Alligator mississippiensis: one gene and its partners. The protein of the gene in region 1 binds, or shares a complex with, the protein of each later gene. Links are inferred from orthologs where the notes say so. Each region holds a gene or a part of one and is shown on either strand. Other genes may lie near its edges. The genes, in order: MED18, MED21 and MED31.

Evidence for each region.
Region 2: MED18 (region 1) and MED21 share a complex: the UniProt entries of both Homo sapiens proteins name them as parts of the mediator complex. The link is inferred for Alligator mississippiensis from reciprocal best matches to the Homo sapiens genes MED18 and MED21.
Region 3: MED18 (region 1) and MED31 share a complex: the UniProt entries of both Homo sapiens proteins name them as parts of the mediator complex. The link is inferred for Alligator mississippiensis from reciprocal best matches to the Homo sapiens genes MED18 and MED31.

What each region holds. Positions count from the first base shown.
Region 1 is NC_081826.1:254,266,022-254,269,142, forward strand, and holds MED18 (mediator of RNA polymerase II transcription subunit 18), read left to right. Parts: upstream 1-795; 5' UTR 796-805; coding exon 806-947; intron 948-1,413; coding exon 1,414-1,967; 3' UTR 1,968-2,484; downstream 2,485-3,121. UniProt on the Homo sapiens protein: Component of the Mediator complex, a coactivator involved in the regulated transcription of nearly all RNA polymerase II-dependent genes.
Region 2 is NC_081827.1:129,467,878-129,471,628, reverse strand, and holds the start of MED21 (mediator of RNA polymerase II transcription subunit 21), read right to left. Parts: upstream 2,893-3,751; 5' UTR 2,838-2,892; coding exon 2,796-2,837; intron 2,539-2,795; coding exon 2,424-2,538; intron 326-2,423; coding exon 225-325; intron 1-224. UniProt on the Homo sapiens protein: Component of the Mediator complex, a coactivator involved in the regulated transcription of nearly all RNA polymerase II-dependent genes.
Region 3 is NC_081837.1:9,414,649-9,418,399, forward strand, and holds the start of MED31 (mediator of RNA polymerase II transcription subunit 31), read right to left. Parts: upstream 2,632-3,751; 5' UTR 2,542-2,631; coding exon 2,532-2,541; intron 2,435-2,531; exon of another isoform or gene 2,352-2,434; intron 569-2,351; coding exon 491-568; intron 1-490. Other genes in the region: uncharacterized protein LOC132244834, read left to right, coding at 2,791-2,946, 3,478-3,663. UniProt on the Homo sapiens protein: Component of the Mediator complex, a coactivator involved in the regulated transcription of nearly all RNA polymerase II-dependent genes.

The DNA of each region.
Region 1 (3,121 bases):
ATCCGTCTGACTGAAAAGGTGAAGTGAAGAGGCAAGGATTTCCCAGGGCAGCCTCTTTTATTGGACCACCTGCTTGGTTGAGAGGAAGCTGGACAGGCGTTGGGGGGCGCGGTGCTCTTCCTCAGCATGAAAACATTTGTAAATCAGGAGTTGAACTACAGAGGCGTTGCTCAGGAGAAGTGTAGGGAAGTTTGGTGTCCCAAGAGAAACTCTCTCGGGAGACATTTAACTCTGGTTGCTCCCGGGTTATTTCTCTCTCTCAGACACTTTTTCTGGTGAAATCGACGATTTTGCAGGGCACGGAGGTGGGGGCGGGCAGCGCGAGGCGGGCGCTGCAGCTTTGCCGGCTGCCAGGGCCCTTGGCGGGGTTCACAAAACAGCGGCGTGCCCAGGGCACGAGCTTAAGCGGATGAGGTAGGAAGAAATGTCAGGACCCTGCGCTGGCGGGGCAGACAGGGCGGGGGTTACTGGCTGAAGGGCGCGAACCGCGCGTACCCGGATTGGGCAGCAGCGGCCGTGGGGGCAGGGCCGAGGGCCCGCGGCGGTTGGCCTCCGGATGCTGAATAACGGCGAGGTGACATGGCCCCGCCCCCAGGAGCGCGCGAGTCACCAGGCGCCCGCCTCCCAGCTGGCAGCTTCCCTAGGGCTCGCGGGCGGCGCAGGACAGGCCCCGCCCCCGGCCGGAGAACCCCACCCCCGGACTCCGCCCCCGCCGCCTCCCATTGGCGCGGAGACGGCGGCGCATGCGCACCAGGTTTGGACGCGCTTGGAACCCTCCCACCCCCATCCTCGGCCGAGTGTGCGCATGCGCCCTGCCCGAGCTGTCGAGCGACTACCTCTGCCCCCCCACAGCCGAGCTAGGTGGCCGGGCAGCATGGAGGCGCCGCCGGTCACCATGATGCCCGTCACGGGCGGCACCATCAACATGATGGAGTACCTGCTCCAAGGTGAGCCCAGCCCCGGCCCGCGCTGCCTGGGGCGGCCCGAGCCCCCGCCTTCCAGCTGGGAAGAAACCGGCTGCGGGTTGGCACAGTGCTCAGGCAGTGCACGAGGTGGGCAGGGCCTGGGCTCAGAGAGACGGGCAGGCTACATGTATTGCGTAGTTGAGCCATTAATTGCGCGATGTATGTAACCGGCGGGGGACGGGACAGGCGGCCTTGGACGGCCAGACTAACAAAAGCTGGCAGGGCCAGCGCTGACACTGTGCACCTTTATTTCTTCAAGTAATTAAGTTCCCTGCTGCTTTCAGGAAAAAAGAGCCTGGTGTTTTAAACCTCAAGGCAACAGACTGCTCCCTTGTGAAGCCGGGGTGGAGGAGGGGTTTCTGGGCAATCTTGTGCCAATAGAGGAGAGGAAAGGGCATGGGTGTTCGTGAACTGGTGAGCAGTGACGTTTCCGGTCTGTCTTCTCCAGGGAGCGTTCTGGATCAAAGCCTAGAGAGTCTCCTCCATCGGCTGCGGGGCCTGTGCGACAACATGGAACCGGAGACGTTCCTCGATCACGAGATGGTGTTTCTCCTCAAGGGGCAGCAAGCCAGCCCCTTTGTGCTGAGGGCACGGCGCTCGATGGACAAAACAGGCATGCCCTGGCACTTGCGCTACCTGGGCCAGCCAGAAATAGGAGACAAAAACCGCCATGCTCTGGTCCGTAACTGCGTAGATATTGCCACCTCGGAGAACCTGACCGACTTCCTGGTGGAGATGGGCTTCCGTATGGACCATGAATTCGTTGCCAAGGGCCACGTATTCCGCAAGGGCATCATGAAGATTGTGGTATACAAGATCTTTCGCATCCTGATGCCAGGAAACACTGAAAGTATAGAGCCCTTGTCTCTCTCATACCTTGTAGAGCTGAGTGTAGTGGCACCAGCAGGTCAGGACATGGTTTCTGATGATATGAGGAACTTTGCTGAGCAGCTGAAACCATTAGTGCACTTGGAGAAAATTGACCCTAAAAGGTTAATGTGAATAAAAAGCAGTCATGGGTGTTGCAGACCACTTTGGTTCAGGGTCATAATGACCTGCCTCCTTAAACTGTTCTTACAAAATACCTCTTGCAAGATTAAAGCTAGGGGCCAGGAATTATTTGGTATTTAGTTTTGTCACTCTGATAATTGACAGTTTGGGGTAATTTGTTGTTATAGGGTAGCTGTGAATAAAAGATGTTTGAAAACAGCTTAAAAGCAATTCTTTCAAATGAAATTCTAAGCAGTATGAGGAAAGGCATTTAACATAAGTTTGTATTAGCATTCCTGCCCCTCCAGAGTGCGTATGTGTACACGCACACACACTAATACTAGAACAGGGAGCATACAATGCCAAGTTTGAAGACATTTAACTTATGTAATACTGCTTCCCCAGTAGCGTATGTTTGCATGCCTTTTCAACAGTTGTACTTTTGTTGCTCTTGAATGCTGTAATATTCAGGTTCCAGGTTTTAAAACAATGTTCTCAAGCTATTAAAAAAAAAAAGATTCCATCCTGACATCTGGGGTTTTGGAAAAGCTCTTTGGGGGTGGAGAGAGAGAAAAAGAAAAAACAAAACAAAAATCAGGATTTTTAGCCGCAAGTGTACTTCATAATACTTTAAAATCTGCAGTTAGGAATACAGTCAAACACCTCACAGTCTGATTGCTTCATGAAAGTCAAGCATCGCAATGCCCAACTGTTGCACGTGTTGGAGTGAATACAATGGATGGGGGTTGGGTATTTATAGTATTAGAGCAATTTATAAAACTAAGATGAGATGATTTATTATAAGAGTACTGCAAGAGTGGTTTATTTTGATTGCAATTGGTTTCCCATTTTCTCTTTCAGTATTTATAAATCAAACCCTATCCTACAGCTCCATGGGATTTGTATTTAGTATAAAATATTTAATTTTAGCAATGAAAACTCTCAAATGCACACACTCCACCACAAGGGCTATTTTTTCATTAAAAACCTAGGCATTAAATCTAATGTGCCTAAGGCTTCTGACCTGTTACTTTTGTAGCGCTACAAAGTTTGTAATAATACAAAACATCACTGTGGGGTATATACATCTACACAGACCCCTGGCTGGAGCATGACAAAGTCACCACAAAGGCTTGTTCTCTAGCCAGGGGAAAATAGGGGGCTGC
Region 2 (3,751 bases), on another chromosome or scaffold:
TCTTGGATGCAAGTCTGCCCACCCTGTTTCAAGTTCACCTACACAATGTCATCTTTTCAGTATATTGCCTGAGATTTACAGGTTCTCTTTTGAAGAGCTGAAGTTCATTTTAAACAATATGCAAGATCACATCTTTTACATTAGTTACTCTTTTGAGATGTGATTTAATGCGATTAAGAAGCATTTTTGCAGTGTTTCAGTATTTTGGCTTTCAACTTTCTTACCTGCAAAGCTGCTGTTGATTCTTCACTAGGTAACGAATCTATCAAAACATCTATATCCTTAGCAGTACGAGCAATCAATGCTGCAAAGAGCTGGGCATATTCTATTAAAAATAAATAAGAATTACTCTAATATACTATTTTTAGCTCTTTTCTTCGGAGGACCTGTAATAAGCTGGGGGCACATTTAAAGAACTTAAATCCATTTCAGACAAGCTGTATTTACTTCTAAAAATCAAGGAAATGTCAAGCCTTAAGAACTTCCCCATACAAGGCAGCAATAGCATGGTACATTAGGACAACTGAATCACATTGAGCACAGATAAAAGGCTAAAAATTCAGACTATTCACAAATAAAGGGCTAAAACATCAGATTAAATATAGTTGTATACAAATAGTGCTCCCATAACTATATGAAGTTGCAGCAAGAACACGAGTAGGGTTTGCCATTTCGTTAACTGTTAGTTAACAAATGTTCAGGTGTGCAACAACCTCTGTGCAGTATAAATGCTGCATAAATATGGTGAAAAATTTAAAGAAACAACTAGATTAAAAGGTTTACTGCTACTGTGTTAGAATTTTAGCACGCTGAACTTAAATGCCTTTAAAAACTTTGCTATCCATATGTTTAAAAGAATTTGCAGCTTAGAACCCAGATACCTTTGCTAGTGATAAGACTTTTAAATTTTGGTAAAGTATACAACTCCTCTATTAGTTTTAAAAATTGACTTTTATAATATTATAAATCCAGTTAACAAGTAAAACAAGACTACAGTTAAAAGGTTGTTAAGGAGATCTGTAGGTTTTTCCTGTTTACTTTGTGCATCTGACATATTTTAAGTCACAACCACTGTTTCCAAAAAACAAACAAACAAACAAACAAAAAACAATCACCAAACAATATGGAAGAGAATAAAAACAAGCCCCACACAAAAAAAAAAATGGTGACTAAGAACATACAACTAATACTCTGGTTAAAGATTTAATACACTTTAAAAACCTAATATATTAACACATTTTCCATGTCTAATCAAGTGTCATTTTGACAATGTTTGTTTCAATAGCCCTGTTCACATGCTTTTGTACCTTAAATACAAAAATGAGTACTCTGCAAACAGTACTTAAAAACCTTCTTGCTTTCAAGGACATTAATATTAAGAAGAGGCTAGTCTGGCATTTTCTAGTGTGTTTTGCACAACCTTTTCTAACTAGTGGCCAGATTAGTACATGCTATAGTAGAATGTGCTTTGGCCAGAGTTTAAGGCAGAGGTGTCAAATGCATCCACCCCTGCAGCCAGCTGAGTGTCTATGAGTTACTCTGTGGACTGGACTGAACTAGGACCAACCCCCTCCCCCTGCCCACCCTTCCCGTGGAGTAGCGGCAGTGCTGGGTCCAGCTCATGCACCACATGCAGCATATGCTAGCCCCTGGAACTGGCACGGGGTGGCCCCAGCACTGCAAGCAGGACAGGAAGTCAGTTCAGGGTGCTGCCTGCAGCCCATGCCCCAGATTCCTTGTGCTGCCAGCAGCTCTGGGTCCAACCCATGCACTGTAAGATCAAAGGGGCCATTTGCACATGAGCATAGGGACCAGCATATGCTGCATGCAGGGCTGTGCATGGTTCAGTTGCCCTGAACTGCAGCACAGCACCATTGTGCACTGTGCTAGCCCCACTTGGGATCCCCAAGGTCAAGCCTAACCTGATTTCAAACATAAAGCAAAAGGAGATTAATTTGAGAAGTATTTTTGGTTGTGCACCTAGATCAGAAGAGATCCCACTTAAGAAACACATGGAACAAAATTAGGGCTGACCTGATTGTTTAAACACTAAATATTTTAAACTGCCTCTTCCCTGAAACATAACTCTTGCTTTGTCCTGCCATTACATATTTTAGAGCAGAGAACAGGATGGTTCCCAGATACCATCACACTGGTATTCCAGATAGTATGACCATCAGGATGGTAACTCTGCAATGGCTTAGTGAGGAATAACCCTACCGAGGCTAGGGGCTGGACATGACAACCTCAGGGTCCCTTCAGCTGCCTTTCCTACAATTCTACCAACTCCAGACAATGTTACTTACATTTGCGCTCTTGCAGAGACCCAGAACAGATCTCATCCAGCCCCTACCTTCACTGACCCCTGTGTGTACCAGCGAGCTGCCCCGCCAGTCAGAAAAGCTGCACAAGATGTTTTTTACCTTCCGTAGGATTGGCTGGCTGGTCCTTGTTGAGGGTGGTCTGGATGTTGCTGAACGAGGCAGGTGGACCGCATTGCTGCAGCACCCCAATAGCATTGCAGAACTGGTCAGCAAGCTGCAAGGCGCACAGCATGCAATGCTTAGCCACGGGGCCCAGTGGGCAAAGTCAAAGCCGCTACCCTCCTCACAACCCCAACCTCTTCCCAACCCCCACCCGAACCTCCCCTCCACCAGACTCTCACCCCGGGACCCCCTCTCGTCCCCCTAAGAGAAGATCCCCCCCGATCCACGCCCACTGGTGGGGGAGGGGGGAGCGGGACCAGGAGCCACCCGGGCTTCGGCCGCCCGGCACAGCGTGGCGCAACTCCTCACCGAATTCACCGCGTCTTGCAACTGCGTGAGCCGGTCCGCCATACTCTCACCCTAGCATCCTGCCCACCCATTGGTCAGCGCCTAAACGCGACGGCGCAGCCAATCGCAGCTCCCAATCTTAGGTGGTCAGGGAGGGAATGGGAGGGGGCTGGGAGTAGAAGTGGCACGGGTGGAGTTGTACATACTTCCTTTTCGGGTCTGTGGTTCGGGTTCCGCTAGGAGGGTGTCTTGGCTGCTGGGGGCGCTTGCTCCTTGCTGGCGGGAGGGTACTTGCGAGGTCTCTTAGCCACCGAGGGGCTCGGGCGCTGCAGGGCCTGTGCCTGGGCCGGCTCCTATTGAACTCGAGAGGAAAACACCTCGGAGGAGCGGGATCCTTTGGGGCTGGACGGACGGGCCTGAGTTCCCTACCTTAAGGAGCCCTCTGCTATGCAGATAAGTAAACAAGCGGGGCTGAGAGATGTACTCTCCCCGGGGCTTGCGTTTTTTCCAAAACCCGCCCCAAATCATAAGAATGAAGTTGTTTGCTTATTCCAAATTCCTTATTCCCGGTGTGAGGTTCCTTTTTCAAAGCTAATCTAGACCCAATAAAAGCTTGTTATTAATGAATTGCACATCCTAAAGAGGGATAATTTCATTAGCTATGCACATGTACTATTTCATATGTAAAATAATATCGCACCTCAAGTACAGAGCCCTAAATGAAGGTCAGATTAGGATAGGATCATGGGGCAAAATACTTCTTGGGCCACCACAAACTTCCTGTTGATGCCATTGGGGGACTGTCCCAAGAACCCTGACCACAGCACGGTTTGGCCGTGCCAGGCTGCCAACTGACAGCCCCCATGCCCGCTATACTAAGTATAAATCTTGAATAAGGAACTGGTTTTTGGGCTGGGATTATAGCTAGAAAATCTGCTTGGGCCACCCATCAGAATACCTCTGCACGACTGGGGGAC
Region 3 (3,751 bases), on another chromosome or scaffold:
CACTAGGTTAAATAATTCAGCCCCCTTTTTTTGTATTGCTCCCCTTCCCTCTATTATGCATTCCAAGAATAGGAAATACAGTTAACAACAGTAAAAGCCCTGTTATCCAGCACAAGTGGGGAATGGGGAGGTGCTGGGTATCTAAAAATTCTGGTTACCTGAGGCCAACAGTTTTTGGCCAGGGGGGTGGGGTAAGGGTGGCAGCAGCACAGGGTGGACATTTTGGCCAGACGCAATGCAGGGAGGAGGTGGTGGTGGCAGCACAGGGTGGATGTTTCGACCAAACACAAAGTGCTGGCAGCACTGGGTGGTGGCAGTAGCAGTGGCGGCCACCACGTGCGAGCTTCCCTCCCCACCCCAGCACCGTGTCTGGCTGGCTGGCCGAAATTCCGGTTAACAGAGTATTCTGGTTAGTAAAATGATGGATAACAGGACTTCTACTGTAATATTAATTTTTCACATACCCACAGTTGAAATTTCAACTACTTACAGTTGAGGTAATTTGGGTTTGCCAGACACTGGACAAATTCTAACTCTAGCTGGAAGCGAAGTCGATTTCCAGTATCATCTGAAACAGAGGAAGTAGATCAGAAAAAGGAAGCTCAATCTACAAAGACCATAACTAGGAAAAAGCTATTAAGGATCTGATGTCAGATTATGTTGCTCAACTATCTGAGACAGTAAGAAACAAGCAATGTATTCCCCAAAAAGATTCAGATTCGTTTTGAAAAATGGCTCTTGCCAGTTTTTAAAAGTTGTGTCAAAAGAATCGTGTGTGGCCTTGAAATTGAAAGGGAAAAATGACTACTGACTGACCACAATGCAGAACCAGGGGCTAATGAAAGCTGCATTTAGTTTTCCCTTTGAATGTTAGCAATTTTTTACCTCTTACCTGCATGACATGAAAACCTCACTCTCTAATTTTGCACCAAGACTTTAACAAGAGCTTGAGACATGGGTTACTCTGGAAAGAGACCAGTTTTGATTTAAAGCAGTGATTCTCATCTCAAGGGGGGATGACTCTTTGAAGGGTGACAATGAGATGTGAGGAGATGAGTAGATAAACTCAGACTAAAGACTCAGCCACTCCCCCACCCCCAATGCCATGTCCCTCTGCAGGGAGATAAGACCTGAAATAAATTAGTTTTTGAAGTGGGGTGCAGTGCAATTCACAGAAGTTATGAAAGGGTACCTTGAGTCTAGAAAGGTTGAAAATCACCGATTTAAAGACCTCAGCCAATAGGGAACCTTTATGTTAACTATAGCAACAATTAATTAATAAAGGGTACACTTTACTACGAGTTTAATTTACCTAGCTTTGCCTGACAAAACACTAGGTCTCTTTCTGCCGGACTGACACAGACCACCATCAAATTAGCTCTTAACCTTCTCCAAGATAAGCTAAACAAATTGAGTAGGGCTGCACTGATAAAGATTTTTTTGGCTGATACCAACGGCTGATTATTAACCAGCCATATCGGCCGATACCAACCTGATACTGTCAGGAAGTCGGGGAGGGGGGTCAGGGGGGCAGATTAAGGTCTCCACAGTGAGGGAAGGAGTGGGGCAGGGGCAGGGGCTGACCAGCCAGGACAGTGAATGCAACCTTGGGAGTGGGGTGGAGCCACAGACGCCTCATCGGGGGGGGGGGGGGGGGATGTGGCCCCCTGGATTTGTGTGCACGGTGAGGGCAGGCTCTGGAGGCCAGGGGCTGCACCAGCCTCTTCGGAGGGGCACTGCACTTGGGGTGGGTGGGGGTGGGGTGAGAAGCAGCAATACAGGGAGGGGTGGGCTACAGCCACCCCAAAATCCACATAGCCACCCCCTCCCCAGCACTGCTGATGCCCACCCCGCAGCCCCATCTTGAGTCAGAAAACCAAGGGTAGCCTTGAACATCACAGACTAACCAAAGCATCTATACACACAGAGCAAAGCAGACACAGCACTGGCTTTTGGAAGCTGAGGCTCATTTCACAGCACCTGGCACGTGTGTGTGTCTATCTGTATGTGTGTATCGATCTGTACATGGGGGGGGTCTGTATATAGTAGGGGTATCTGTATGTAGGGGAGGGGGGGTGTATCTATCTGTATGTAGGGGGGTGTGGGGCTGGAAGTCGGGGGGTGTATCTGTGTGTGTGTGTGTGTGTGTACGAAGCATACACCTATATTTGGGGATGCGCACGCCTGCGTGTAGCTATAAATAGGGGTGCACGGGCCGTGTGCATCCATATAGGGATGCACGCCTGTGCGCACACTCACACACCGCCCCCCCAGCACAAGCCGTTGCAGGCCGAGGCCCCCCCGGGCGGGCCGGCCGCCCTGGATCCACTTCTGCCCGCGAGGGCCAAACCCCGCCCGCCCGCTCCCCGGGACCCTCCAGGGCTCCCGCCACAGCAGCGTAAAAGCAAGGCCGGGACCCCGCTCCCGCAGCCAGGTAGGGCCGTGCAGCAGCAGCAGCCACCGGCGGCATCGGAATAGGGGTTGTGGTTGTGGTTGTGGTTGGGGCGGGAGCGACAGAGCCCGACCCTCACCTGTCTCCATGACGACCCCAGCGGATCGGGCCCCGCGGATACAAGATGGCGGCGCCCCGCCCCACCCGGAAGTCGCTCGCCGGCCCGCCCGCGATGCATGGCGGGAGCCGCCGCGCCGGCGCAGACGTGGCCTCGCACGGTTTCCCGGGTAACAGGGCCCCGCTCCGCCCCTAGGAGCGCGCCGCGGGGCTCGCCCGGCCCGTGACGTCACTCGCGCTCTGTTATGACGTCCCTCTTATCCCTAGCTGAATCCTTCCCAATGGCAGCGATGAGGGGGTTACTAGTGTGTTTCACCGCGGTGGGAGCGGCGCGTGCTTTGCAAGCCAACGCGGTTTTTAAAACTTCCAAAACAACCATCCTTTGTAAAAACTGTTTGTCGTTGTTGAAGGGTTTCCCGTCCCGAGAGAAACCCGTGGTATGCGGGAGGCAATGTCCTTTCCCCCTTATAGCGTCCTTTCCCCCTTACCCCAGGGAAAGATCAAGCGTGAGGCCACGAAATGAGTCAGACGCGCCGCAGTAAAGCAGACGGCAGAAAGCTGGACTTTGGGGTTGCGATCCGGGGGGTGAGAAACACGCCGGCAGCACAGTTTCAGCGATCAAAGTTCAGCTTTATTTCAACAGCCTCTCTGTGCACACCGTGGACTTGACTTGCATGCTTTCCAATGGGCTTGCCAAACATTTGAGACATTTTCTGTCAAAAAAACCCCAAAAAAACAACCCCATAGCCAGGCAAAACATTTGTTTCACCGTTACAACTTACAGGGGCAGATTTTGATATTATATATTTTCTGAAGAAACATAACAAATACCGTGTGATCACGTCTATCCCTCGTGACCGATGAGAAGGGTTAAGGTTCTGCCCCGTGTTTACTCGTATCAAAACGTACCAGGTGACCCAGTATCTGCTGAATAAACCAAGAGATTTTAGTTAGCTTTTTCTTTCCAGCTGTTTAAAGCTGCAAGGACGATGGCAGAAACATTTCTGCAAAAGGTGGGTCGTGTAAGCGATCCCAAAGAAATGAGGAGCTTAGCCACCGAGTGGGTCCATGAATCATTTCCAGAAGTCGAAACCGTTTCCACAGAGACGTTACAAAGTTGGATAGAAAACAACCCAGAGGAATTGCTCATTCTGGTAAGTGATCCATTGCATTGCCTAAAAGCAACTTGTCTGCAATTAAAAACAACATGCATTGGTGTCCTGGTCACTCTTCTTCATTTTA